3 linked regions of the Oryzias latipes genome follow. The protein of the gene in region 1 purifies or fractionates together with the protein of each later gene. This does not show direct contact. Links are inferred from orthologs where the notes say so. Each region holds a gene or a part of one and is shown in the gene's direction. Other genes may lie near its edges.

Evidence for each region.
Region 2: the proteins of chaf1b (region 1) and cbx5 purify together in Homo sapiens (affinity purification with mass spectrometry; 8 studies listed by BioGRID and IntAct, with this or other methods). This does not show direct contact. The link is inferred for Oryzias latipes from reciprocal best matches to the Homo sapiens genes CHAF1B and CBX5.
Region 3: the proteins of chaf1b (region 1) and chromobox protein homolog 3 purify together in Homo sapiens (affinity purification with mass spectrometry; 3 studies listed by BioGRID and IntAct, with this or other methods). This does not show direct contact. The link is inferred for Oryzias latipes from reciprocal best matches to the Homo sapiens genes CHAF1B and CBX3.

The regions. Positions count from the first base shown.
Region 1 is NC_019879.2:24,742,080-24,752,282, forward strand, and holds the start of chaf1b (chromatin assembly factor 1 subunit B), read left to right. Parts: upstream 1-4,757; 5' UTR 4,758-4,864; intron 4,865-5,188; 5' UTR 5,189-5,220; coding exon 5,221-5,346; intron 5,347-5,581; coding exon 5,582-5,714; intron 5,715-5,962; coding exon 5,963-6,083; intron 6,084-7,127; coding exon 7,128-7,231; intron 7,232-7,302; coding exon 7,303-7,399; intron 7,400-7,483; coding exon 7,484-7,571; intron 7,572-7,719; coding exon 7,720-7,813; intron 7,814-8,372; coding exon 8,373-8,442; intron 8,443-8,559; coding exon 8,560-8,651; intron 8,652-8,747; coding exon 8,748-8,907; intron 8,908-9,914; coding exon 9,915-10,203. Other genes in the region: MORC family CW-type zinc finger protein 3-like, read left to right, coding at 73-148, 441-1,380, 1,953-2,113, 2,203-2,341. UniProt on the Homo sapiens protein: Acts as a component of the histone chaperone complex chromatin assembly factor 1 (CAF-1), which assembles histone octamers onto DNA during replication and repair.
Region 2 is NC_019865.2:12,831,856-12,841,797, reverse strand, and holds cbx5 (chromobox protein homolog 5), read left to right. Parts: upstream 1-3,553; 5' UTR 3,554-4,115; intron 4,116-4,597; 5' UTR 4,598-4,651; coding exon 4,652-4,782; intron 4,783-5,004; coding exon 5,005-5,242; intron 5,243-7,017; coding exon 7,018-7,118; intron 7,119-7,857; coding exon 7,858-7,999; 3' UTR 8,000-9,767; downstream 9,768-9,942. Other genes in the region: heterogeneous nuclear ribonucleoprotein A1, read right to left, coding at 1,227-1,285, 1,372-1,491, 1,576-1,695, 1,775-1,828, 1,915-2,064, 2,148-2,358, 2,426-2,572, 2,643-2,759 and 1 more. UniProt on the Homo sapiens protein: Component of heterochromatin that recognizes and binds histone H3 tails methylated at 'Lys-9' (H3K9me), leading to epigenetic repression. In contrast, it is excluded from chromatin when 'Tyr-41' of histone H3 is phosphorylated (H3Y41ph).
Region 3 is NC_019869.2:11,212,472-11,222,705, forward strand, and holds chromobox protein homolog 3, read left to right. Parts: upstream 1-4,207; 5' UTR 4,208-4,339; intron 4,340-5,011; 5' UTR 5,012-5,019; coding exon 5,020-5,165; intron 5,166-5,829; coding exon 5,830-5,986; intron 5,987-6,085; coding exon 6,086-6,180; intron 6,181-6,838; coding exon 6,839-6,965; 3' UTR 6,966-7,358; downstream 7,359-10,234. Other genes in the region: nuclear factor erythroid 2-related factor 1-like, read left to right, coding at 362-836, 938-1,701; sorting nexin-10A, read left to right, coding at 9,273-9,305, 9,409-9,495.

The DNA.
Region 1 (10,203 bases):
GTAAGGAAAAGTCTCCTTGTTCAATCCTTTGATTTTAAATAATTTGAATTAAAAATTCTTTTATTTGTGCAGCGGTGAGTCCTTCCATGAACGACGGACTTCCAGTGATTTCTGGCGTGTGCTCGCTGTCTGCCCACCTCCCTGCTCTGTGAGTGACTCTTTAGACTGAGGTGTTGATTATGCAGAATATTTCTGCATTCCATCTACTGTTTTTGCCCTGTTGGTGCCAATATTTTGTCCTCCTTTAGGATTTTAAAATCCAGTTTTATGCAGTTATATCCATAGATTATTTTTTCTTTTTTGCTCAGACCCTTGTTGCAAAAATACAGTATATAATCTTTTAAGGGTTTGGGAGTGGAAAGGGATTTTGAACATGGCCAAAAACTTTGTCTGCTTCTTTTTTAACAAGGATCTTAAGTTTGTTTTTGTTTTTTCAACAGAAAAAGAGCACAGCCTTCTCCTCTGAGTACACCAAAAAGGCCCAGAGTGAATCTCCCACACAGGATCTCTGGAACATTGGCAGAAAGGGACACACACTCCCCCTCTGTGCCCCCTCATATGGAGGATTCAGACGACGACACCGATGACGACATTTCCATTTTAGAGTCTTGTAGCACGCCAAAGCCAGCAAAGCCTGTTTATGATGTAAGCAGAGTGAAAAAGGAGCAGACAGAAGAGGGCGTAAATGGTGTCAGCATGCTGTTGGATTGTACTGACGACGCTGCCGTGGACCCCCCCTCTGACAAAACCACTGCAGAAACGGGACGTCCCACAGTCAGTGCCACCACCCAGACAGAGGTGTTCAACGTGAAGCTGGAGAAGGAGAGCCAAAGTCTAAAAGAAGAGAATCGAGCTGTAGAGCTGGGGGCATTTAGCATAAATGCCACACAGAGCTTGAATGCCCAAAGTCTGAAGACGACTGAGATCAAGCAAGAGAAGAACAGTCAAGGTGAGGAGAACATGCAGAACGGAGAGACGCATGTTGAGAAGAGTACTACTGAGAAGCAGCAGGATGATCTGTTGGAGCTTCTCCAAGACGCCATCCAGGAGAGAGACGGCTTCAAAGAGGAGCTGCAGAAAGTCACCTGCCAGCTGCAGGAAATGCAAAAAAAACTGTCTGAGGCGAGCCAGAAGACGAGCTCCAAGCAGTCATTCCAGGCGGAGAAAAGTCAGGAAAGGGACTACAAGTCTCTGTTTGAGAGGGTCAAGCAGAAAATGCAGGATTTGATGAAAGATAAACAGGCTTTAATAGCAGCTGCTGGAAGAGAAACTAAGCTTAGTGCTGAAGAAAAAGACATTGATGAGATTTCACTTCAAGTTGGATGTTTGGTGCAGGAGCTGGATAAAAGAAACCAGGAGCTGGACGAGCTCCGTTTACAGGTGGGTAACTCAGTTTCTAATGTTCACGTGTCCTGATAAAACATTTCTAACTTGAACACTAACATAGACTGACTCTGAAAGGCTGCAGTTTTAGTATCAATTGATTGTAAAACTAGAACTAGAGCCCATGACACTAGATCAGAGGAAGGTGGTTTTTCCCTGCGACTCTTTCCTGGTTGAGCAGAAGCGAGCGAGCGGGCTGGCGGGCCCGTCTGGCTATTACAAGTTACATCTGCGCCTCAAGCCCTGGACTCTGAGACTTTATTGGCTTCACAAGTCCAGAACTGAATAAATGTGTGCAATTACAAAAATCCAGTTTGGACACACCAGCATAAACGCCCCTTTAAAGAAAGCCTCCTAAGATCTGACATTTTGTGACCCTTTAAAAAACAACTTCAATATTGCTCTTCTGGGAATCACTCCAGTGTCTTTATCTCGCTAACTTGGTTTAAATTTTATTCATTAAATGAGGGAATCAAATGAAATTATTGATTTATGCAGCTAATTTTGGTTTTTGGTTTCATTGACCTCCCCTCAACCTCTGACTCTTCTCTACCGGTGTTCACCATCAGCTCGACACCCTAGAAGAGGACAGATTAAGCCTGGCAGCTGAGTGTGAAGAGCTGAGATGCAAAATACAGCAACAAGCTGACGGCACAAGAAACCTTCATTTTCCTGCTTCACATGCAGAGAAACCAGGAGGATCAGCAGAACCTGATGAGGCCAGGAGGAGGTTTGTCTGTTGATAAATCATTCTTCTATATTGAGAGTTAAATGACTAACAATCACCTCTAAAACTATTTTTTTCCCCGTCCAATTTAGTTTGATTGAACTGCGTCAAAACGTCGGGCGGCTTCTTGTCTCCTCCATGCCGGCTCTTGAATTGGATCAAGTGAATTATGAATGTAACGTCATCGATGAAATCCTGGAGCAATACCTGTCCAGCTTAGATTCCAACTGATGTTCCCCCCCCACCCAAAATAAAGACATATTTTACAGATGAAAAAGGTGGAACGCTCATCATGAAGGTCCTGCATAAACCTGGACTGATGAAAATGTCCCTTTCAATCACAAAAACGATCTTTTGTGTCCGGGAAGAACTTTCTTAAAAACGCTTGTGCAGATAAAACAACAGCTTTGTGGAAATTAAGTTGTTAATTTAAAAATGTGCGTTCTGAGCTGTTAATTCCTTTGTTTGAAATCACAGTAAATTATGTTTTATGGCTGAAAAGCTTAATTTGCTTTTATTCATCTCAGCATCTGAGTGCAGCTATTCTATTCTAGTGTTTAAGACATTGAGTTTTTCTGTCTTCGGTTGAAATTGTTCGTTGGTAACAGAAATAGTCAGTTTTGATCTAAATAATCCAACTTTTTGAACAGTTTCAGTAGCATTAAGCTCTGGTTCTCCAGGTTCACCTGATTAGTGGAAGACACAAAGGATGTGAAAGCATTGCACTTTGTCACAAAGATGTGAGACAGGACTTTTTTCTAAACATGTTTTCACTGTTCCTCTTCTTTTTTATGTTCCTTTTGTTTTATTAATTATATTTTGTATACAATTTTCAATGTCATATTAAATTAAGTTGCTCTAAACCAAGTTGACCATATTGAAGAATAATAACCCCATACTGCACATAGCTATTTATTTCTTTTTCAGTGTCAACACTGCTTTTTTCACTCATTTTTAAACTCTGTTTAATGTTTTCCTTTTTTTTTATACTCAAGCAAAAAAAAGCGCTGATCAAAGAACTGCATATGAAAATATAAATAATTAAAACAGTATTTGCAAAATTAATTTTGTTGTGTTTAAAATACACACAAGAACTGTTACACACATTCATACATATATATATATATATACACACTTCCTTATTATCCAGTGAGCGGCAGTTTTGTGGGTGGAAATGCCTTGTTGACGTCAGAGGAGAACGGCCAGACTGGTTCCAGCTGGCATAAAGGCAACAGTAACTCAAAAAAACCACTGGTTACAACTGAGGTCTGCAGAAGAGCATCTCTGAACACAACACGGCCAGCCTCGAGTCAGAAGGGCCACAGCAGCTGAATACCGCACCGGGTGTCACTTCTGACCGGACAATAGAAGATCCTCTCTCCAGATGACCTCCCAGTCTCCTTGATCATTTTACGTGTAGATGTTCAGTCATCTGGGAATTCCTCCTGATCTTCGAGCTCGTCCTTAAAAATCATAAGCACTTTCCCTTTTACAACTTCCACCACTTATCTGTCTTCTTCATCTTCGTCACCTCTAGAGTCATCCTCACACCACCATCTAAGCCGTCTACGCTATACTCTCCACTGCTCCATATAAAAAGGACACTCCCTGGTTTCAGGAGGAGTCATGTGGTAATTTAGGTGCATTTCTATCTCTAGAGTGTGAAATTGGGTTTAATATCAAACACTCTTTACTAAAAAAGTTAGAAACAAAAAAATTGAAAAGGTTAAATTATTTAAACTTACTAATAAATGTGAGTGCTTCTCCCTCCATTGCTAAATGTCACAGTTTTCCCTGCTGCACAGGAGCAGTCATTCTCCCCAAATTTTACCGCTCAGCTCTTTGACACCTGGACTATTCCTAAAACATTCGTGCAGTTCTCTGTGTGTCCATTATAGTCCTTGTGTTGCTCTCCTTTTTCTGCAAAAATCTGTCCACTGCTCTCATTTCAGTTCTCTTAGCAAAGTCCATCATTCTGCATTCCTAAATGCCAAACATTTGTTTTTCTGTTTGAACTTTGGCACATTACAAAACATGGCTAAAATAGACATGATTTAAACAGAATTTCGGAGTAATTACAATCAGAGGAAACAAGAAATGAATAAAATAATAAAAACAACTACTAATTAATTTGATAAAAAAGACAAATGAGAAGAAAAGGGAAAACAAATCATACGTTTCTTTCAAAATAAAGGTAAAATGTTCCTTTTTTTGGCCCCTTAAGCAGTTTCAGTGATTTTAAATATATTCTGAATTCAATATATTTTGAATATACTAAAATTGATGGGAAGTTTTGCATATATTTATATTTACATATATTAAATTTGGCAAGACATAGAATCATGTTTTTGCAGATTTCTCCTATTTTGATTTTAATAATGAAACAAAAGATGATACTGTCTAATGTTTTAATATAAAATGTTTTCATATATATTTATGAAATTACATCAAACAAGACAAAACAAACAGGATATGGAAAGAAAAAGACTTTCAATCATAAACATTAAAATGCTCAGTATATCATATAACAGAATATTTCCGAGGCGGTTTACTTTGCTTTAATGACTTCTTTTTATATTTATTTTAATGTACAACGTATATTACAATTTAAAATTTGAACATCCGGGTCCACCCATTTGAGTACTTCCGTCTTTTGCCCCGCCCATCCCTTACAATCACTTCCTTGACCGGAAGTTTTGAATGAATTGTACGCGGGAAAGTCTCTCAGGCAGCTTCTTTCATACACCCGTGCAGGTAAAAGACTAACTCGGTCAAATCTTTGTTATTGTCCAAAAATAAAATGATACAACTTTTTAGCATGTGTTTCGTTTACCTTAAAAGCTAACAGCAGGTCATAAAATAATATTTTTTTGACGTGACGTCTGTCTACTTTAGACACCCAAGGCAGGAGGAACCGCTAAAGTTTAAGCTAACCGTTGTAGCTTTTGGCTAAAGTGACAAAAACAAACACATATATTCCTTTCCTGTCCCCTTAATTTGTCCTATTTGCAGTTGTAACTATTTCATGTGTTATTAATAAGATTTTTTTAAGAAAAAAAAACTTTTTTGTCCTCAAAGGTCTGTTTGCCTCTGAAAGTGCGAGAAAAAAAATGAAAGTGGTAACGTGTGAAATAGCCTGGCACAACAAAGAGCCTGTCTACAGTTTGGACTTTCAGCACAGCACGGATGGACGCATACACCGCCTGGCCACAGCTGGAGTGGACACCACCGTCAGGGTGAGTGGAGGAGAAGCCCCAGGATGGTTTGGATGTAACATTAAGATGCAAGAAAATATGGATATTAATGTACAAGTCTGTTTAGGGGACACCTTTCTGTTACAAACCTCTGAAATGTTTCTGATGCAAACAATTCCACGGCTTTAAACCCCACAGACCTCACAGAGAACAGAGTAAACGCTCCTTTAGTGCCGTGTATTTGATCAGACCTTGACATAACCTGATGTTTCTGCAGCTCTGGCGGGCGGACATGGGTCCGGACGGGAAGGCCGTGGTGGACTTCCTGTCAAACCTGGCTAGACACACAAAAGCTGTCAATGTGGTTCGTTTCAGCCCCAATGGAGATCTCCTCGCTTCTGGAGGAGATGGTATGAATATTATGTAGTTTATTATTTCAAACATGTTATAGTTTAACAGTAGATAAATGGATACACTCGCTGATAACTATAGGCAGTCATCCAAAAGAGTCTCTGTTTGACAGAACTTAAAAAAAGATAAACATGTTTGAAAGGGAGATGAGCAGAAGCTGTAGGTTATTTAAACCTACTCTCTTATACTAATTCAACTTTGATAACAAAAATATGATAATGAACTGTTTGTTTTGTTTGTTATGCAGATGCTGCAATTCTTTTATGGAAGCTGAACGACACGAAGGAGCCAGAGCAAGCTCCCGTGTTCCAAGAGGATGAAGATGCTCTGCTCAACAAGGAGAGCTGGTCTGTGGTCAAAACACTGAGGTACACATGCAGAGAAGTTTGACTCTTTATTTATATTTGGTTGAATCTGTTTGTTTTTAGCACCAAATGTTTAAAGTCCCCCTCGGATCATATTTTGATCTATTTTAAAAGCAATCCCAGTGGTCTTTTAATTATGATGATGCTGTTTTTAGCCAAACACCCGGCATTTTCTAGGACATAGTTTCTGCAGAGTGGCAGGACTGTTGGTGTGGAACAACCCACCTCTTCTTTCCATCACCCATAATTGAGAGCTCACAGTTTACACGCTTTGCCGCTAACTTGCAGCCCCACACACCCCCAGCCTAACATGAGCGGTGGAACAAAATTGGCGAGTAATATTTGCGCTACCCAGCTGTACAGTTTTGAGTCAGATTCCAGCTCAAACGACTTATTTTGTGGGGGGCAAAAAGTGATCTAAACCGAAAAAATAAGAATAAAGTACCAAAAACTGATTGAATATTTATTTATTTTGTAAATGACCATGATATAGACGGGATAATGGCCTTCGAAGTGTGCATTATCAACAGTAACGCACCGCACGAAAGCAACTGTTTGACGTGAAGTTCAGGCTTCCACGGCGTGCGTTCGTTTTTGCTTCTAAGGCACTTTTCGTCTTCCATTATAACTGTTACACAATCAATGCAATGACCGTCATTAATGCTTAAGGGAAAAAAAGGTCTCAGTTAGACTAAACCAAAAATACACATGTTTGAAAAGTAGATGGGCAGACGCCAATGCTGACTGAATATTACCCCTTTATCTATTTTTCATAGTACTTTTAAAGCACATGAACACAGTCAAATACTAAATAGATAGAATGTATTCACAAAAATCTTTTCAGATTTTTGGTTTCTCTGGCTATATTAAGTCTTGCACAAAATTTGACAGAAGTTAAGCGTTTGCACCAACAACCCGTGTCCTACTGTGGCCTCTTTGTGCCACAAACTGACGTCATGTCTTCTTCAAAAAATGAAGTAGAGACTGTAAATGCTATCCCAACCCCACATTTCTTGTTCCCATAAATGAATTTTCTTTTGTTCCCAGGGGTCACATAGAGGATGTGTACGACGTCTGCTGGACGAGGAATGGGAACTTCATGGTGTCGGGGTCTGTCGACAACACAGCTATCATGTGGGACGTCAGTAAAGGTTTGTTTCTGCGCGTTTCACACATGATTACATTTCTGTTCAATTACAGTACCTGCTTTTCTTTTCTTTAGGACAGAAGTTGTGTATCCTAAATGATCACAAGAGCTATGTGCAGGGTGTGACCTGGGATCCTCTGGGACAGTATGTCGCCACTCTCAGCTGCGACAGGTGAACGTCTGGATTCAACCTCAGGAAAATATCCGCTGTCAGTAGGATGTGATCAGGCTGAAGATGTTTTTTGTTTTCTTTCAGGGTCTTGCGTGTCTACAGCACCCACACTAAGAAAAAGGCCGTCACTGTCAGTAAAATGAGCTCAGGACAGCCGGCAGAGGGGGGCGAGGTCAGTCGCATTTTAGCCTCTGATGTTCTTAATTTGGTATTTTGAGTCCAAAACTAAATTTAAGTAAGAAACAAAATGAAATGAAACAACACGACTGTGTTCTCTGTCCCTTTTGTGCCTGTGAAGTCACTGGGTTGTCATTATTCAGGCAAAGCAGTACAGAATGTTCCAAGACGACAGCATGAGGTCCTTCTTTCGCCGTCTTTCCTTCACGCCAGACGGCTCGTTTCTTATTACACCAGGTAAACCCACTCGGAGGACGAAAATTCTGTTTTGGTGTTTTTTAACATGTTCTTGTGGCATTTTTCTGATATTGGAGGGCAAATGCTAAGAAAATGAAGCAGAAAATAAAACTTCTGACTATTTCTTAATCAATTTTTTGTGAATCTGGAGCAGGCTCAAAAATGCAGCTGGGAAAAATGGTGTTTGTCATGTATAAAATGCGTTGGACAGGTCCATCTTTGCTCGCCATTTTTTTGCACCAATAATGTTAGGTTGGGAGTGTGATGGGCTGTACGCTAGAGGGGGAGAGTGTAAACAAAGGGATGATGGGAAATGAGCGCAGCCTTACTCCCCGTCACAACTCAGAGGTGAATTTGTAATGAACTCCAGCCGCTCTGCAGAAACTATGTCCTAGAAAATGACAGGTTTTCTGATTTGGGCTAACAAGAGGATAATCAAAAGACCACAGGGAACGCTTTTACAGTAGATCAAAATGTTGGAGAGGGTCTTTAAACTTGAAAAGTTTCATTTTTTTTACTCCATAAAAGTATTGTTTCTGGATTTTTTTATTTTTTGCAGCTGGATGTGTGGAAGTTGGAGAAAACATCATTAACACCACCTACATCTTTTCCAGAAAAAGTCTGAAAAGGTGAAGTCTTGTGTCTTTTTATTTTGTTTTTTTTTTGTCTTTCAATCTTAACCTTGACATAGAATTGATATATTCTGACTCATGGATATATATATATTCCCTGCTTGTCCTGTTTAGGCCCGTTGCCCACTTGCCGTGTCCATCTAAAGCTACGCTGGCCGTGCGCTGCTGCCCCGTTTACTTTGAGCTCAGAACCAAAAAGGGAGAAGGCAAGGACAGATGGAAGAAACATTGATAACAGAGCAAATATTTGCTTTTATTTTTGGTTAAAATATTCCTCACTAAATGCCTCCTTTCTTCTGCAGATGGATCTATCCAGGATCTTCCTAATTTATTCAAGCTTCCCTACCGGATGGTGTTTGCCGTGGCCTCGGAGGACTCCATCTTCCTGTACGACACGCAGCAGAGCCTTCCGTTCGGCCTGGTGTCAAACATCCACTACCACACACTCAGTGACCTGTCATGGTAAACAACTTCTTTATGTCCATTTTTAATCATTCTAACCGTTTTCAGAGCCAGAAATCCGAGCGGGATGATGCTAACCCCCCCCCCCCCTCAGTGTCCTGGTGTGTCTGTCTCCATCATGCAACTTTTTTCACTTCCAGTTTCAGATCCTGCTGTCATTTCTTTGGGGAGACTCGGCTTTTAAACAAAAATTCTGGTTTTCTGTTATAAATCCAATAAATTATTCAGTTTTCTTCAAAAAAACAAACAAATCTATAAATGCAGAAGAGTGCAGCTTCTTGTTCTGAAACACTTGTTGTCATGTCGTCATCCTAGAGTCGCCCACGAACACAAACAATAAACTTTTGCAAAGATGGATGTGCATACTCTTTAAAGTTTAAGCTGATCATCGCTAGCTCTGCAGAGAAAATGGGTGTGTGTGTTAGTCTGGGGGCGGGGCTGGCTGCGCAGACTCTTCCTGGAAGGGGCGGTTCCCCCATGTCAATAGGTATGAGCATCCCAGTCAGTCTCAGGGATTGGGAGGGTCTGGTTTTTAGAGGAATACTCAGAAATGTGTGAACAGATCAAAATACCACTTTGGGGTTGTTTTTCGTGAGGAATGAACATTATAATACACTTCAAAACTCAAAACGTTGATTCTGCATGATGTTCCTTCAATCCATGGTGTGACATTGTGTGAAAAACTGATCCGTAAACTGATCTGTTAAAATTTAGCATCACTAAAACAATCGTCCTGACACAAAACTTCACAACTTCTTTTTTGTTTTTACCATTTTAGTTATTTTTATGCAGAAAACATTCAATTAATGTGAGAAACTGATATTTTTTCATGGCAGTCTGCTTTTATAAATCCTATAAAGATGCTCAATTATTTTTTATTGTCTGTGTTTTTATCATGTTTTACTGAGAAGCACTTTGTGATTTTTATCTTAATAGGTGCTATACAAATAGAGTTTATTAAGTTTATTATTATTTACTTTTTGTTTGGTCCTGTCTGACCCCTCCAGGTCTGCTGATGGTTCCTTCCTGGCCGTGTCCTCCACAGACGGTTACTGCTCCTTCCTGTCATTCTCTCCTGGGGAGCTGGGTACTCCCCTCAAAGAGCCCCCCACCTTAGAGGACTTTGTCCCAAACAGTAGTGAGAAGAAAGGGAAGAAACCCGCAGCACCCAAGAACTCCCCGCCTTCATCCCAGCCCGCAAATTCCTCCCCTAAAGTGAGCAAAGACGCCCCCTCCTCGACTCCCTCGGAGGAGAAGAAGGCCACGCCGAAGGGCGTGTTGAAGCCGCAGCCGCGC
Region 2 (9,942 bases), on another chromosome or scaffold:
CACTGTAAAAAAAAATTTAAAAAGAATACTTCAGCGTTAGCACGACAGTTCAGCTAACCTGTGGAAGAAAATAATCTTTGTTCAATAAATATTGCCACAAACCAACCAGCAGATTCACTTTCTTGTACCTGGGCCATTCTCACAGAAATGATGTTTTTGTAGTGCTGGATACCGCTGGAAATCACCTGAAATGCAAAACAAAATAAAAGTATAAGGCATTGCTCAAAGGTAACCTGTATTGACTGCATGCAAATTACAGTGGACCTCTTTGCACTGCAAGAGATCAATTTTTGATCAAGTGGTATTTTTTTTAGCCATGTCATTACTGGGCTACAAAACTCACTACCAGCTTAAAAGGCAAAAAGAGAAAACACCATCAGTAGTTGAAAGTCTGGTCTTACCTACAGACAGCATTTAAGCCTTTTGGTAGCTGCTGCCTGCTAGCCTCAGGCTTCTGCTCTCACTCTCCCCTGCTTCAATGATCCTGGCGATGGCTTTGCTACTTCTCTCCCTTAGCTTGCTTCCATGGCTAGCCTCATAGACTTTGCATGTAAGCTAGCCTCCTCGAGATGATCTTTGCAGAATTCGAAGTTGTCTGAGCCAAGTCACGGCCTTTTTGAAGATAACATTTGCGCACCACTGGGAAATTGCCTTTTCCAGAGCTTGACAAAAAGTGGCCCTTTTCCCCGTTTAAGTGTCAACCCTCCCTTCACCCAGACCACTAAAGAGGCTAACGAGACTTTATAAAAAACTGAAAGGTGGTTTATTTCAGATTGAGTTGATGCAGTTACAAATAAAAACCAGACTTAAAGATAAACATAAAACCCTCATTGGAATGCTTGCTTTCCAAAAAAAACACATATGATGAAAGAAAAACAGAAGACAAATTTTAAATGAAGGCCCTCCATGATTTATCTACTGTACATCTCTTCTTGTAGCAGCTGTAACCTGCCACAACTGTTTGGCTGAGCAGATTTAGGAGGTAAACCTGCAGCTGCCCTGTCACTTCGCTTGCTCTCCTCTCCTTGCTCTCCTCTCCTAAGTACTCAGTCCTGTTGAACAATATGGAACAACATTGTTAACTGTGCACTGTCTTCATAAGTCCTGACATCCAGAGTGAATTCGTTTAAAGTTAGCTACACTTAATCATTCCCTAAAATGATAAACTCTGGTTTTACGACATGTAACAGCAAGTTTATGTCTACAGAAGCTTACCCCTTAGAAACTTAAAATCGTCCAGGACGGCCATAGCCACCGCCATTGTTTGATCCACCGCCATATCCACCTGGAAGACAGAAAAACAATCAACACACAAGGTGAGGGTTAAAATACTTCTGTGTTGGTGTGTTTTCACCAAATCCAAATACCCACCGAAGTTTCTGCCTCCTCCTCCACCACCACCACCAAAGTTGTTCTTCATTGGACCAAAGTTGGAAGCCTGCGGGTCATAGTGACCCATGTTGTTGTAGTTATTGCCACTGCCACAGTTTCCTTGAAAATGGTAGATAAAAATGATTAGTGACAACCTCATCCTAAAAAAGGGGGGGGTGGAGGGACGGGGTTGTTGTTGCTCACCATAACCATTGCTATCATAACCATTTCCACCATATCCTCCACCACCTTGGTTGTAGCCCTGGTTGTACCCACGGTTGCCACTGTTATAGCCCCCAGGACCACCGGGCCCACCTCCATAACCTGCATCAAACAACCTTAAGTCTTCAGATGTTCGTAAATTAAAAATAAAAAAACAATTTATCTAGTATGCTGCACTTACCGCCATCGCCTCCGTTGCCGTTGTAAGGACCATCTCCATATCTGCCCCGTCCACCTTAAAATAAGAAGAAAACCCAAAACTTGTTATGGCTGTCTTACAGACCCAATGATTTAAAAAAAAAATACTACAACCCACATTACCTTGGTTAAAGCCTCTGTCGTAGTCATAGGGTCTTCCACTCCCACTGCTGCGGCCACCTCTCATTCCCATTCCAGCAGTCTGCATTTCCTGTTTGGTCAGGGCTTTCCTCACCTCACAGTTGTGGGAATTGATTGTGTGGTATTTCTGGACTATGAATAAAAAGGCATGTTTCAATTTTTATGAAAATCTTACAGGGCTTTCCCATTCTAGATCAGATACCACTAGTACTCACTGACAATCCTGTCAACAGAATCGTGATCGTCGAAGGTGACAAAGGCAAAGCCCCTCTTCTTTCCAGTGTTCCGATCAGTCATGATATCAATGACTTCAATTTTGCCAAACTGTTGGAAGTAATCCCTCAGGTGGGACTCTTCTGTGTCTTCTTTGATCCCTCCAACAAAGATCTTTTTCACTGTAATATGAGCGCCTGGACGATTTGAATCCTGCACACCAAAACATTTGTTATACTTTGAACAAGAAATCAGATTTACGTCTAGTCATATAATATACCTCTCTAGAAACTGCTCGTTTGGGTTCCACCACCCGTCCGTCAACCTTGTGTGGACGGGCGGACATGGCTGCATCAACTTCTTGGACAGAGGAGTAGGTCACAAAGCCAAAACCCCGGGATCTCTTGCTGTTTGGATCCCTCATCACCTAAAAATGAAATACTTTAAAGCCAATTCAATTTGGATGATAGCAATCACATCTTGTGAAAATGACTCACAACACAGTCTGTCAGGGTACCCCATTGCTCAAAGTGAGCTCTGAGGCTCTCGTCTGTTGTCTCAAAGCTCAGGCCTCCAATGAAGAGCTTGCGAAGCTGCTCTGGCTCACGTGGGACCTAAACAATAGATGAAGACGTCAACAAGAGGTTGCCGCAAGTTCAAACACTATGAGTTAAAAACACATTTTTGAAAACGAAAGTCCACTCATTGACTTTCGTCTCTATTTCCAGAACATATCCAGCGTCAAAAACAACAACAGCAGGAGGGTTGGGTGGTGCAGACATCGCCGCCATTAGCGATCAACGATTGCAGATTGTTCGACTTTTTGCAAAAATATGTTCGCCTAAGGTTGTTAATATTGCGGTTAATCGAAATAACGATAACCAGTGACTCATATTAATATCATTCGATTCATTTCGTTTACCTGTAACCAACAATAGGCCACGAGGCCCAGTTGTTACAAAATGGCGGCATAAGGAAAAGAAAGCTTCTGCAGCGAAGACGGGCTGTTTCGACCGAGACAACGTGCCCAAATCTAAACCATTGAAGCCATTTGACGAAACTGGACCAGCTAAATAATTTGAATCGTTCAGAATACAAAGACTTACATCTTTCGACATCTTGCTGTATTTTGTCGGAAACTCCTAGTGACACAACAACCACGCAGCGATCTGCGCCAGACAAGATCAGGCAGCAGTCAAACGCTAGGATAAAATGGGGAAAGGAACGCCCCCTTTTTACACAGTCATTGGTCAGTTGTTCCCGCTGTAGTATTTCCTCAGAGAAAGGTGAGTTTTGATTGGCTTACGTCCTATCAATCATTCAATTAATCCAATCCCCGAGCAGGATAATGCAGTGTGTAAAAACGGAGGAGGAATGGGAGAAAACAGGATGCTTTCGCAGACATAGTGACATTTTATCTGAATAAAAATGAAATGATAGATTGGGGCCAATAAACCGCATCAATTTGGATCACCATCATAACATTAAACTAGATTAGTTTTGAATGGTCGTACAGCTACTTTTTTTATCTAAACAAAATAAAAAGTATAAAGAAAGAATTACACAAATTTTAAAGGACACAACACACACTTTTGTTATTACATTTTTAGCTATTTAATTAATAGTTTGGAGCTTTGTTTATATGTAAGGCATTATGTTTCTTTGTCAGCGTACATTAAACGTCTAATAACAAAACATATAATTTTACACATTACTATTACAGTAAGTAAATACCATGGATTGAGACCCTTGCTGCTAACCTGCCTGGTTTCTTGGTTATCAGCTGACCGGGAGGCGGGTTCATTCATTGTGTGCTTTTAACGCGCGCTTTTTCCGCTCAGCACCTTTATGTGATTTAAGCTACATGCTAACGTAGCTCCGGTAGACTGGTAGACTGATAGCTGCTGCACAAAAGACGCAAGATAACGCTGCAAAAAACGCACTAAAACTGACGGCCCGATCATCCTAAAGTAATCGCACTGTTAATTTATCGATATTGTGTTTTTACTTTAAATAACGATTCGTGATTTGAACTGTAAAAGTGGCAAGTTAGCTTGGGGTTCGCTTACATGCTATCTTGTCTAGCTTCTAGTACCGTTAGCAGAGCTCAGTTCGTCGTGCCCCATGCTTGTTTTGTTTTCTTACCTGTTGTAATCTTAGGGCTATCTTCGTTAAAAGAACAAGTGTTATGTGAAATACTTGCAGATGTGATTTTTATTCGTATAATAATTTAGTTGCTGTTATGCTCGAGTGTGTTATGCACGACAATTTCTGTGTTAGCGTCGATCAAATGCTAACGCGTATATTATCATATCTTCTTTTCTGATTCAAAGTATATCCTTTTTTTAATTATCTATTTACGTCTGATCTGTGCGTATTAACGCATCTGGAAATACTGTGCCAAGATGATCGGTTGTTATTTAAACTTTGGCTTCTCTTCTTTTGGATCAAGGAAGTGCTAACGGCCTGTGTGTGTGACAGCGTGCTATAAATACCAAACTTTGCAATGGGCAAGAAGTCTCGCGAAGAGAAATCCTCATCGTCTGACGAAGAAGAATATGTCGTGGAAAAGGTGCTGGACAGGAGAGTCGTGAAAGGCAGAGTTGAATTCTTCCTAAAGTGGAAAGGATACTCAGAGTAAGTAAAAAACAAAAAACGCCAATCTGTTAGCAATTCTATTGTAATTGCAATAATACAATATTACTTAAACCGCATAAAGACGTGCAATGTAATGTTAAGGGTTATGTAGCTGTGTGCACCGCGGTTTTAATGTTTTTATTTTGGGTGTGTTTTCTCTTTGTTTGTTACTATTGTGATTATGCAACTGTCTTGAGTTACTTGGATGGTTTTCCTTTACAGGAAGCACAACACCTGGGAGCCGGAGAAGAACTTGGATTGCCCTGAGCTTATTGCAGAATTCATGAAAACCTACAAAAAACCAGGCAGTGGGAGTGCCACACCTAGCACTGGTTCCAGCAAAGTCAACACAGGATCATCGGGTCGCTCCAAAGAATCCGGGAGCTTAAAGAAAAAAGGTTCAGATGATGAGGAGGAGGAAGACGAAGAGGGTGGAAGTAAACCTAAAAAGAAGAAAGAGGTGAGATTTATGTATATGCAATGTTTGGATTCACTGTTTTCTAGGCTGTCAAGATAAATGAGGAAAAATGAGTTTTTGTTGTTTTTCCCCTTTATAATAAAGTTTAGTTTGTTTGTTAGGATGTTACTGTACTTTATGCAAGGTTCTTAGAATTTATCTATTTTATTTTTTCCAGATCTACATTTAAATAACGAAATGTTAATAAGCAAGGGAGAGATATTTACAACAGTACATGTCAATTCTTTATCTTTCGTTTCCCTAGTTTCTTTTAGACCAGGGATGTCAAACTTGATGGCACAGGATGGGCAAAAATCCAAAACCCACTTTAGGTCGCTGACAATAACACTGTACTTTATAAACTTTTAAAACTTCTTTTCAACATAAATATGACAAATATATTTCTTTTAACAGTAAATGTTAAAAGAAAAAAAAACATTCAGTTTTCTTTACTATTGAATGACTTTATAAAAAACTTACATTTTGCTCATCTGTGAGACATCATCTGCGTGCTGTTTTATTAGTCTTCATCACTGAGAAGAGCTTCTCACACAGAAAGGTGCTACCAAACACGCACAAGGGTGAAACTGCTTTTCTGCAGGAATGGCGTTCATAACCTGTGCAGGTCCTGCAGTGTCGTACTTTGCCTTCAGTGTGCTTTCACTCTGCAGCTCACTCTGCTCCATCTGAATCTGTACAGGGGCAGTTTCAACATAGACGGCAAATGGTTTGTGAAGCAACTCAAAAATTCATTTTTGTTATTCATAATCACCAAAGGGCCGGTCGAACTTGATGCGCTCAGTTTATCAGCAAAGTACGGATTTGATGTTTTGCCTCATAGTGCTGTCTAAAGATTAAATTCCTTGAATACAGCCACATTAGCTCCACAAATGAGACGCATAAATTTATCAACAATGTCAGTAAACATATTCTGCCTCCCATCAGTTTGAAAAGCCCATTTCCAGGATTAACTTTTCACTTTTGCACCGACAGAGGGCCAGCTTCACTATCACTTGCAGCATCATAAACTAGACTTCATTGACGTGGGAAGTGTTCGGCAAGGCAGCTGAAGCGCTGCATTGTGGGATCTGTAGTTGAATTTTACCAGCGCTTCATATCGCCATGCCGTAATTACCAATAATATAAAACGATCATGCTAACCGAATATAATTGCATGCCGGGCTGCATGCGGCCCGTGGCCTTTAAGTTTGAAACACACGTTTTAGACATATAATTATTTATTTTTAGAAGATACAATTGTTGATATGTGCCAGTACACTTCACCATTGAGAAATCCACATGTCTTGATCTCGCATCCTGTTTTTGTGGCGTCCTGAAAATTACAAAAGGTCAATAAGTCAGGCGATCAACTAGTTGATGTGCATGTCAACATGCTCAATCTGTCTGTATGTGTTCAGTGCTTTACTTCTGTCATTTTGCACCTTGTACAAATAATCAGCCTTTTCAGCACAATTCTACATACAATCCAATAAAAGTAATATTTGGGGGGCTAAAAGAAACTAAAATCAATTAGACATGGATTAAAAAATTGTTTATAATACATAAACCAATAAGACATATTGAAAATGATTACCGCAAAAACAAGCAAAGTATTAATCTGTTTATACACAGAAGGAATTTCAATAAAATATCTGACGGCATTTGTCCAGTAGAGCAGTAAAGTGTAAATATGAGGTTAAAGCACAGAATCAAAAGACAAAAACAAACAGTTTTAAACATTTCCTCAGGTTTGAACTTTTTTTCTTTGTTTCTTACAGGAGGAAATTCTAGTAGCCCGTGGCTTTGAAAGAGGACTTGAGCCAGAGAAAATCATTGGAGCCACTGATTCATGCGGAGACTTAATGTTCCTCATGAAATGGTAAGTTTTGTTGTTGGGATGATGATGATTATGATGATCTGGTGTGAAATTGCTGCTCCGCTAGGTGCAATCACCACAGACTGTTTTACTGTTGACTGCAACATGGAAGGGAATGACTCTTAAAAAAAAAAGGCTTTTGACTGTGTCGGTTAACTGGGCAAATCACCCATTAGAAACTTCAGTAACCGGGCTGTCTGTCCATAGATGAACAGGAAGCCAAACCATAAAATTAATGTTATCTCTTATTACCTAGATGGATATACGCAGTGCACCATCACTCATGCCTGGTTCTGGACTCATATTTGAGTTGCAGACTTGATACTTTTACTTTGAATAAATTTACAAATCCATAAAAATAATCATGAATTTAGAATTGTTCTCATTTGCTATGATTTATAGAAAATTCTCTGTGATCAGTTTTAATCCTAGAGCGAAAGAACAAATAAAAACACCTGTGATGAAGTCTGACTATACCTTTGTTGCACCAGATGAAAAGTTTGTCTTGCCAACTTACCCATTTTATTTGGTTTTATGATAGAACACTTGATGCTGTCTCAATACATGGTTAAATTGCAGTGTAAATGAACCTCTTAGAAATATAACAGTGAAATGCCATTTCACAGAGACTAGGATAGAGTGCAACCGCCTACAGCTTGTTTATGAAATCCCACAATGCCTTATTTGGACTTAAGTTAGTGAAGTGTGGTGCAAAAATATTTCAAGCTTTACCCTCTTTTAGGAAAGATTCAGACGAGGCGGATCTTGTTCTTGCCAAGGAGGCCAATCATAAGTGTCCACAAATCGTCATAGCCTTCTACGAGGAGCGCCTCACCTGGCACGAAGACGGTGACAAGAAGGAGAAGGATGCTGTCAGTGCTTGAGTGCAACACCTCTGGAGGAAACCTCCACTGCAGGGAAAACATTCTGTTGGACTTTTTGTTTTCCTTCTCCCAAACTTCCATCCCTCACTTTGTCCAACAGTGAAACAAAAACAGTGCATCCCTTTTGTTGTTTTCTCCACTCATGCCTCATTGAGCACAAGGGCCCAGACTCTGTAAAGGATCCATCAAATAGAAAGCTGTTTGTTAGTGGACCTGGGTGATATGCTACTGGGCAATGTTTCTACTGTTTTTGTATTGATTTTTTTTTTTTTTGTAATATCTTAACATTTTTGTCTTTATCTTTTCCCTGTTTTTTAAAGTGCTTGCATAAAAATGTTACTAGGAAGAAATCTGGAGAAACTATTACTGGTGGCCATCTGTTAAAGTTGCAAATCCAGACCCAAGTACCAGATTTGACGGTTTAGGGGGGAATTCCCGATCCCCATCATTGTGTTGTAAACAGTGCACATCTTTTCTTTGACAGGAAAATGTTGAAGCTATTCACTTATCTTTCTTTTTTTACCCCTTTAGGCAGCAGATATCACACCTGATTCATTTTTAAACGTGTTTAATAATCGTTTTCCCCACTGTTTCTATTTTTTTTTTTTTTTTTAATATTTGTAACCGGTAATTTTTAACAGGGCCACTCTCACCAAACGCTCAAACATGTGCGATCATTTGATCATGACGTCTACTCTGCCATCAATTCTCTTTGTTGTAGTTTAATATTTTTGTTTCAGATTAAGGTAAGAAAAAAATCCTAAATATTTGTCCCAATGAGTAGATGTTGATCTGATGTTCAGGATTCCATTGATCATTCATCTTCCTGAAGCATTCATCTGTTTCATGTTTTGACATCCATCACCATAACATGCTTCAAAAGGGACATGATCACCTTCATGAAATTTAAATGTAAAAACTATGATAATTGTGAAAGCTGAATTAATGACATGGCAGCTGGATTGGCCTGCAGTTGAGAAGACTGGTGCACCTGTTTAGTCATGTAGGTGCACGTCTGTGTAGTGATGTATATTGGTTTTAATTTGTGCTGTTTCGTCAAATGATTGTTTTGCGGTTTTTTTCTTTCTGTTTTTTTTGACAGTGTTGCCAGAAGAAGAAAAAATACAATAAAGACATTTTTTTCTCCATTCTGTACTTTTAATCATATCCCAATCATTGTTTGAATGATTTTTTTTTTTTTTACTTTTAATTTGCATGAATTGTGTGATCTTGCGCCCTTTCAAAATAAAATTCAGCTAGCATTCAAAGGAGAAACTTAGCTGCCACTTTGATAACTGAAATTAATACTGTGGTCAACAATAAAGACTAGATTTATTTATTTGCATTTCTTTTTCCATGCTCCCCCTGCTAAAAAGCTTCAGTAGTTTTAATGAATTACAAAAAATATTGTTTGAATAGCTCCTTATCACCTGTTCATTAGTTTGAATTTTAAGGTGACTAACCCTGATAAATACATGGTTTGTTGTTGAAGATTGAAACTGGTTTTGCAGCCTGCAGAGAAGCATTGGACCAAATGTCTGCAGATTCACAGACTGCTTGTTTTTAACTGATAAGAAATGCTGTCATCTTCCTTTTGATACTACCCATACATTTCCTTGCCAGCACATTTTTTAATGTAAATATGGGTTTTATTTACCTTTTGACAATATACATTTTTTAAAGTCAGTAGTTTATTGTGTGAGAGAAATGTTCCAAGTATACATGTATAGTAGCATCCTTTAATAAACATTTTGAGTGTTTCAAGGTCTTCATGTGTTCACTTCGTTTTACAGTATAAATTACATTTTTCATAACATTACCCTGCAAACTGACAAAAATATATATATATACTTTATAGATTTAATGCAATTTTAGAATCACACATCAAAAACCTATTTACTGCCGTTTGTCAGCAGAGGGCAGTATTAACCAATTCCAACGCA
Region 3 (10,234 bases), on another chromosome or scaffold:
TTAGGGGACATCGCCCAACCTTAGTGAGATTATATAAGTTTGCTTCTTCCCACTCCTTTTCAAGCAATAAATCAAGCTCTACTTGACTTTAGTTAATGATCACTGTATTTAATTAAGCAAAGTGTGATTTAAGTGACTTTTTTGTTTTGTTTTATTTTATTTTCTGTCCTTTTAAACTATGCATTTCAACATTTCTGTAATGAGTTTGATAAATATGTGTAAATCCTTTATTGCTTTGACTAAAATGCTTGAAATAAATTGATCAAATCAAATCAAAAATCAAAGTAACACAAGCAAAACCTGCTTTTCAGGAGAATGAGATGAATTCCATCTAAAAAGACACCATATGTCTCCTGTTTAGGACCTGGATTGTCTTGTTTCTGGTCGTCTGCCAGACCTCAACACTGACATCATAGGCGCCATCAGCCAGAATGTCAGTTTGCACGATGCTATGGTAACCAGTTCTGGAATATGCGGTGAGTCATCGTCTGAAGGAACTGAGCCCAGGAGCAGTGCTCAACAGCAAAGAAACCTCCTGAGGCTGGACTCCACGGGATCTTCTGACACTTCGCCTGAGATGGCTCTGGGCCTTGCTGCACTTCCTTTTGCCTCAGTGTGCAATATGACACCAAGTGCTACACCACAAGGTACACTGAATGACTGTCTGGATGAAGCTGTGTTTGACCAGATCAATCAGCTTGGCTTGGATGGCCTCGAGACAATAAATAACCAGCTGTTGGGCAGCCTGGGGTGCATAGAGCCCCATGCCCTTGAAGACTTGGACTCCGACTCTGGTCTTTCCTTGGAGAGCAGCTCTGGCAGTCCACTATCCCCAGGTTTGTTGTGACTTTTCTATCTTCAGCCTCGCCCACTGAGACTAGAAAACATAAACCTTTTCTGACTCGCAACCACATTCATGATTTTGTTATTCCCCCAGGTTCATCAGAGATTTCATCATCTTCCAGTTCATACTGTGAGGATGAGTGTGGAGCCACAGGCTACAGCAGTGAGGTAGAATCTGTCCTCTCAAAGGGAATAACGGACTACAGCACGACATGGCCACCGACTCATCCCAATGAGAATATCTGGCATGACCACAGCTACGCATCCGCTGCTCTCTTCAACAAGGCAGCAATAACGCTGCCCCATAAAATCGAGGAGCCTTTTAGCGATGATGTCTGCTCAGACTTGGAAGAACAGGAGCTGAGCCGGGATGAGCTGCGAGCTCGCGCCATGTGCATTCCATTTTCCGCTCTGCAAATCGTCAATATGCCCGTAGAAGAGTTCATGGAGGTTCTGGATAGCTACGGTTTCTCATCGGAGCAGGTAACTCTTCTGAGGGACATCCGCAGACGTGGGAAGAACAAACTAGCAGCTCAAAATTGCCGCAAACGCAAACTAGACGCCATCACAGGGCTCCAGGAGGAGGTGGAGATGTTGCAAGCTCAGCGGGACAGGCTCCTGAGAGATAAACAGCTTACAGCCAAGACGATGGGTGCCGTGGGGCATCAGATAAGGCAGCTGACCAGAGATGTGTTGGCGCGGCTGAGGGATCGTTCAGGACAGCCCTTGAACCCAGAGAGATACACTCTGCAGTGTGGCGCTAATGGGAGGGTTGTAGTCCAGCACATCAGACAACCTGCTGTCTCCACATCTGCCAGCAACAAGACAGACAAGAGGAAAAAAGACAAAAAGCAGTGATGATCGTTTACACACCGAAACTTAGGATTTACCTTTTCTGGGCATATTACTATGCTGAATGGCTTGACTCTGGTTTTGGGATGCCTTCTTTTTTGTTAGTGTATATGGATCCAAAAGCTGCAAAAATAGACATTCATAAAGATAAAATCCTAAAAAGAATATCTGTAAATATTGAGAAAGTTGTAGCTTTCACACTGGACTTTGGCAAAACAAATGGTGCACTTATGGGAACAGCTTAGTGTGTGGCAACTGTACCGGTCTCTTTGTCCCTGCTAAGTTCTAAGACTTTGTGATGGTTACTGCTTAGAGATCACACAAGTGTTGATTCTGTTAGTTTCTATTTACGTTTTGCCTTTTTTTTTTAACCATATCGAAGAAGAGGAAGAAGTAAAAGATTGTATTTATTAAAGTTTTGTCAAAGAGCTCAAAGTGAATATATACACGATGAGACTGTCCAGGACGGTGTCTTTTTATTATAACTTAATCTAAGTGAGCAGACAATTGAAATTTCAACAATCGGATATTGGAGAACACTTTATATTAGATTGATAATTACTATTTAACGATTGGCATTTGACAAAACAAGCGTTTGAGTTTTTGCCTCACTTGTCTTTATGACAGACAGAAAAAAACTGGTAAGATTGACCAAATCATAAAATTGATTTACTTTTGTAAGATAATGAGCATTGTTAGAGGTTACAATAACAAATCTTTTTTAGGTTTTTCCTATTTTCTTGCTAAATAAGTTGTTTGTGGGTATGCAAAAGTGTGCCTTTGATCTAATGACTTTTTTTTTTTTTTTTTAAGTTTGCTGAAGTTGACATTTTCGTGAAAAAATTACAATCACAAACTCTCGGTTTAAATGTTGTTGATTTGGTTTCATGTGCTTTCTGTGACATTTCTATCTGTTTCTGCCATTTCCTGTGTGAGCACATTGCTACATATCTGTTTACTTCAGGATAAAAAAAATACTCCCAAGTTTTCCACTTGATTTATTTAAACTTACATTTCAAAAACCTTTTCCATTTTTTTAAATGAAATTCTACCTCAGGTTTATTTTTTTTTCCTAATCCCTTTTTGACTAATTTGAAAGGTTTGGTGAACTTAAGTGTACTTGTATAATAAAATATTCATTATTACTGTGACCCCAAACAGATAAGCTGTCCAGTTACTTAAAAAATCTATCAGCAAGGCAAGATGTAACCCTTTAAATATTTGTCATTATGCAAAGGGATTGCTATGAAAACTATGGGTTCACAGCTTTACAAAGTCAGCCAAGTGTGTGAAATAATTGTGGAGTGCATGAAGTGACATTTTTCTTTTCCTGGTTTAGCTTAAAGTTTACTTTTCTGTCTCTAAGTTTCGCAAATGTGTGTCTTTCTTGTTTTTTGATTGTTTGCTTGTTGATTGCTGATAGTATGGTTTTTCTTGAAGAATTTAGGCGCTTTTGGGGGATTTGTTTACTCTGAATAAAAAAAGAAAGTGGCATTCTTGTTGTTTTTTCTGATAAATATAAGATTATTGTTCACATTTTATGTGTACCTTTAAGTCTAAGCATTTTTTAAAGTGGGGTGAATGTCTTTCTCCTAACTTAAGTACTTTGCTAGTGCTTTAAGTTTTTATTATTATTATTAATCCAAGTACAACTCAAATCACACCATTTGGCCAGTGCTGTAGTTATTTGGTATTGTCAAAAATGGTAAAGAAGACATTTTGACAAAATTACAATTTTTCTAGCAGAGAATTTTTTACTAACTCGGTTCACTTGGTGTAGAAGATATTGTTCACTATTGCAAATAAAAATAAAAAAATAGAAACATTTGGATTGCAAAAGTGTAGACTGAAGCACAGATCATTTTATTTCGCCTTCACACTTATAGCAAAGGTATTGCTTTAGTGTAACTAAATTTAACAGACAACCTTATATTTATCAAGTAAAGATTACTGAAAATGAATCACTTTACATTTGATAATCACATTGAGACAGTAAATAATTTTCACAGCTTTAAACACTGATACTTAATTTTTTTCACACTCAATCAATACAACTGCACTGACACAATATTGTTTTGTGTATTTGTTATTTTATTTAGGGCTTTATTATTAGGATTCTATGCACCCAAATTCTGTAGATCATTCTATAGCAGGTAAGTTGGTTTGCATAAAATAAACATTTTTTGTAGTATTCTTTAGTAACACGAGTTTATTTTAGCTCAGAAGTCATTTGTAAGCGTCAATATCAAAAAAACTCAAGACATACAGAATATTTAAAACACAAAAACAACTATAAGCTGTTCCTTTATTAGTGAAAACGATAGAAATGTGTCAATGTTTTAAACATGCTGCAAAGCTTTACTCGTGTATTCTCATTTTTCATTTAAAATGAAAAAACATATTTTAAAGATTGTGAGATAAACCGTTATATAAACTGAGAAAAAATAAATGACGTAAAAATAAACTAACAGGACACCGTAGAGTCACAAGTGCTCTAAAGCAAATTGTTTCCTTACGGGCTTCCGTAGCCTACTCGCCTTTTGCGTTTGGCGCGCACCCTCCTTTCTTCATCTGTACATAAAGACAGGCAGTGACCGCGTGGTTGAATAAGTCGTCACCGAGGTCATTTTCTAGGCTTTACAAGGTATGTAAGCTACGTTTACCGGTATTAAATGCTGCATCTCATCTCTTTGTTTTTGAACTTTTTTTCTTAAATAACTAAGACGTAAGGAGTAATTTAAGCTAACTTCTTCATCATAGAAATGAATGCAATGAACCGAACAGAATTTGTATTTGACTCTTCACAGCTCAAGCTTTTTAAGTTTATCAAGCCCGAGTGTTGTATGAATAGTATACTTTTAGTTTTAGACTGTTGATTGTCTCGTTTTGCTATTGCTATTAACTTAACACTAGCACGAACAATCTTTCGTTTTTTTGTTGGGTGTCGATATTGCTGTATTGTTGTAATTATTTGAGGCGTTAAGGTAAGATCTAAAGAAAACACGTTTTTGTAGCATGTTGATGTTCCTTTTTAGTAAAAAGATATAAACAATGGTACCATGGCCTCAAACTGTTTTGGCTACGTTAGCATGTTGGCTAACCCAAAGGACGCTAGTACCATTTACGGAAAACTTGCGGAGTGAACGTGGCCGAGTCGCGTCCGTCGTAAAAAGTTGGAAAAACTAAACACACACATGCTGTACACCTTTATATTTACGGTACAAGCCTTTCTGCTAAATGTGGGTCCTACAGGTGAAGTGGAAAAGGGCAGTTGCGTGATACATCGGCAATTGACTCTCCTTCCTCTTGGTTTTAGAGGCCAGAATGGGCAAGAAGCAGAATACAAAGAGTAAGAAGGACTCACAGGACACGCAGGAAGAGCCAGAAGAATTTGTTGTGGAAAAAGTACTCGACCAGCGTCTCGTCAATGGGAAAGTAGAGTTCTACTTGAAGTGGAAAGGATTTACAGAGTGAGTTAACTGGAGCCTCTCCAGCTAGTTCTTTAGAATGGGGAAGGGGGGTTGGCCTGTTTACTCTGTTACCACATTTTTATGTGGTTAAGGAATCAGACATTTACAATAGATTAGCATGAGCCTTAGATCCAATTTTAAAGTTTTTGTACATTTATACTATGATTCTTAATTTGACCCCTCCCCCTCCTTTAACTTGAGCTTTCATTTAGCTAAAATTAGCCAAATTTTTGGCCTCGATTTTCCTTCTGGCTTATGGGTATACAAAATGGGCTGAATACTTCAGGAAAAGAACAAGACAATTGGCTCGAATGTGGCAAGCATCTGCCCTTTTTCTTTGTTTTCCACTCACGCTGTAACTACCCATATAACGTAAACCAAAATTACAAATAGTTCATTTACATGCAAGAAGACACCAGATTATATGCTTTAGACAATTTTCTCATAACTTGACCAGTCTTGTTATTTTTTAAAGAACACCAGATTGCCCTGATCACTTGATAACCCAGATCATTTGGATCTGATTGGTTTCAGATTGTTCTGAACATGTAGTAAAGTCATTTTTGCATGAAGCTGCTAGTGTTCTCCGCATCCTGTTAGCTTTACATTTTTTTTAAAAGTCATGATTTATATGCAATTGATCACAGCCCTCTTAACTATTTAGTGCTGACAACACCTGGGAGCCGGAGGAGAACCTGGACTGTCCTGAGCTGATTTCTGCATTTTTGGAATCACAAAAGAATATTAAGGAGAAGCCTGCTGCTGTTAAAAGGAAAGCCTCCACAGATGAGCCAGAGACAGAGCCCAAGAAGAAAGACATGGTATGTCACAATGTCATTGCAGTACTTTGAGCTCAGTTCTAATTAGTCATTCTTCCATTTTAAAACTGTTTTCTGAATGTTCATGTGCTTCCACTTTAGGCTGAGAAACCACGTGGCTTTGCCAGAAACCTGGAGCCAGAGCGAATTATTGGAGCAACTGACAGTAGCGGGGAGTTAATGTTTCTGATGAAATGGTACATTTTTATAGAATGTCTCTGACTGTCTACTAGACAGAACCTTTAAAAGATGTTTATGAAATGAAAAAAATTATAAGATAAACATCCCACTTTAAAATCTGGTTCATAGGATTATCATTGTAAAACTCCTCACTACACACTTTATACACTTTTCTCAGACAAACAAACATTTTCACACTTTTCTCTCTTGTTTAAACTCTCAAATAAGACAATAAGTCCAATATTTTAGAAAGCAGACAAAAATCTGGTCACAATGGAAGATGTTTGTAATGGGCAAGCTAAACGCATTTGTACAGGAGACATGGGAGGGAGGAGATGGATGACATGGTCATCAACCAATCAGGATCCAGAGGGCAATCAAAATAAACATGCAAAGATATTTATAAAAATTTGAAGCAGCGATAGATAAACCACAGCATAGGGAGGGGTTAATGTAAAACTTGTTTTAGGTGAGCAGTACAATTTGGCCCAGAATGAAAACTTCTAGTTTGAACGTTGTTCACATTTTCTCTTAACTTCATTGGTTGGTTCACAAAAGAAACATTGTGGAAAGATGTTATTTATTGTGGAATATCATATGACTAATTTTTTTAAAGTAGTTTTATGTTGAATGTTTTTTTTTTCCATTTGTGTAACGCTGTTTAATTTTTTACAGGAAAGACTCCGACGAAGCGGATTTGGTCCCGGCCCGTGAAGCCAACACTCGCTGCCCTCAGGTAGTCATATCCTTCTATGAGGAGCGACTGACGTGGCATTCCTGTCCAGAAGATGAAGCTCAGTAACTGTTGTAGTTTGTGCTGTTCTTTGCATTACCTCTGCTCCTTTCTCAGGACGTTCTGTGCTCCTGTTTCCTGCCTTATCCTTCTAGTTACATGAATTACATAGATTTTTTTTTTTTTTACGCTTGTGTGGTTTTCAATGAGCTTTAAGGTTGTATATACTGGTTCAAAGCTTTTTGAGCTGTCAAAGGTTTTGCAATGTATGATCATTGAAGTCTTCCAAAGTATCTCATATTAAGGACCACTAAGTGTCATACATGTCATAACAACTCTAATTGTTAACAGTTTTAGTGCCTGCACTCATTCTTCCTGTTTGCCTGCTTTTTTCCCCAAAAACATTTTGTCAACAGTCTGTAAATGTTGTTTCAATTTGTAATAAAAGTTTTATGCAGCCAACTTCTTCTTTTTATCCTTTAACCATTGTTTTTTTTTTTGTTCAATTTCTTGTATTGTGGCATTTCTGCTAAGGTTGTCTTCCCCGTAACTAACAGGTAGTTTTAATAAGTGAAGATGCTCATAAAAGCTCTGGATGCAGTGATCACTCTATAGTGATTAGTGTGTCGAGCATGAGACATGAACTTTGGATATTCCTTTCTTTTTCTGTCAAAACATTTGAGCAAACCATATATAAGCACTAAGCAGTGTTGGTGACCCTTTATTTGTAATGAGTGAATTAACGAAATCCTGGAAAATCCTATGCTTTCGCCCTTACATTTTCAGATTTGATTTGTTTGGAAAAGGGAATTGATAGAAATCTCTTTTACTCTTTAGTTCAATAAATGTTTTTCTATTTCAAAATCTCACCAATGACCCTTTGGTGTATGAAACAAAGTTTATTACATGTGTAGTCTAACTTTTTATTTAAATTCTTCAGCTATCTTACTGTAAAAGGTGACCGTCAACCAAGAAGCTCATCCAGGAGAACACGTAAATGGAAACATTCTTGGTAAATTTAGCATATTAAGGTTTTTTTTATAAAGCCCTGGACATATTTGAAAAAAAATTGTTCTTTCACATTCATAATTTGTGTCCACATTTTAGTATTTTTTGTGCACAAATTAGTAGTTGGAATTAACAATGCTAAATTTGTGACCACAAGTGAGTAATTTAAGGGAACAATTAGTTTTTTACATCATGTTCAGTGCTATGTATCCTTTAACAAAAAGCAATAAACAAAACATGTAGTGGTCCAGATTGTTAATAGGTTAACAAATTATTTTTCTCGTGAAGTTGCATCTTTGTGTTCCAAAGCTTCCTTTTATCTATGGAAAACCTTTTTATTATTTAAAATAATGTGATGTTTTTTGTCATTTGTTGTGAAACACTGAGGTCTAATACCCTTAGGATCCGTTTTAATTTGGACTTTTAATCGAACCACTAAGAAACAGGTTCGCAATGACGCAACGCTTAAGCGCCCGGATTTTGCGCACACCTGGGTCGGATGAGCAATCAAGAAAAAGTCTTTTTTGTTTGTTTTTAATCTAGCGCATGGCGTGTGGGTTTGTTTTAATGTTATATCCATATGTCTACTTGCATTGGCCTCCCCCAAAGCACGGAAGGGTCCCACTGAGCAGCTTACTTACATAACTTCTGTGCACACGAGCTAAACTCTGAACTACAGCCCTGAGCCGGACCAGTTGGTTTAAAGAACAGATTTGTTTTCCACACGCAGCCCTCAGAGAAGAACGGTAAGCGCAAATGACAAAACATCAATTTAAGTGTTTAAAATGTCCTTCAGAAATACAAATTTTTCTTAAAGAGTGCTATTCAATTGTTCAATAAAAAGTTAATATTGTAAGCATAGAGGCAAACATCTCTTTGGCTTTTGTTTTTCCTTAAGTTTAAGTCTTATTGATTGTAAATCCAAATTAACCTCAGTGTGCCCACTTATCTTTTATTTTTTTTATTTTAATAATTGTATTTTATTGACTGATTTAGTAAACGATGACTTCTTGTGAAGCTGAAAGGTCTGACATTAAGGAGGAAGTTCAGTGAGTTACTATGATTTCATGTGATGATGGAAGCACAGTGCTGCTTCAACCTGCTTGCTTTTATTATTTATCTGTTAGTGTAAGTGGGATTTCTTATAGCATTTGAGGACGAGTTCATGTGCTGCAGGCAACTGCATAGGCAAAAGAACCAGAATCTTCAGCAAGTCTTAATTTTTTGGTTAATTATTTTTTTTTTGCTTGAGGTAGGCCTCTTGTTTGTTTAAAATAAATTTTACTATACTGCACTTAATCTTTTTATACTTTTATATAGACTGATTTTGAGTTAATGTTATACCTGTCTTTGCAGAGTTAACCTAATATGAGCCGTGTTCTGAATAACTTCAGAAAATCTGTAAGTCCTGCATTTGCTCATTATTCTTAAGTTTATTAGCAAATGTAAAACATTACTACAACACGAAGGGTAAAATCATGCATCTCTGTTTGAATTTTTGCAGGAATTTATTAGCATTTCAGTTCAAGATCCAAAACTCCACAAAGAAGACATCTGGAATACATATGTTGACTATGAGATCTGTCTACAAGTATGTATCCATGGGGAAAATGTGTCCTAGGTGTAAGAATGGGAGGGCTTGATCCAGTGCTGATATTTGTATTTCTGCCCATTTTCCATGATCACCTTTTACTTGAAGAATTGTTTAAATTGAGAGGGGAAAAATAATGCAAGAAGACTGATTTGAATAGAAAAAAGGAGTTTGCTCCTATACTTCTTTTACAGTTAGTGATGAAGGGCAGAGGTCTGCAGAACTGTCAGCTTCCAAACGTATTAGCATAACTTTAGCTGAACTTGCATGTTTGAAATGCAGCCAATGGCCTCAAGCACATTTCCTGTTGAACACAGAGGTAAACATAATTTTAGGGCGATTCTTTAGGAAGGTGATGGGACAACTGCCCATTATCGAGAGTGATGGTTCAAATTTTGGATGATACCCTCCTACCTACTCATCTAATCAAAGGGTGACGTTATGGTTGCTCCAGCATGGAAGTGACCCGCAAAACGGGTCCTCAAGAAAAATCACTGTCATGTAGGAGCCAAATGGTCAAGTTGCCTATACTGTTGCTGAGACATCTTAAGCTGGAGATATTTTGTGAAAATGGATGGATGGATGGATGGATGGGCGGGGTATTTCTTGTGAGCAAATGTGGCCAACAACTCATCAGAAATGCTTGTTTTTTCCCATTGGGGAAAACTTTTTAGGAAATATTTTGCTTAGATTCTTGCACTCATTGTTCATATGGATCTGTAACGGGCTGCTTCCATAT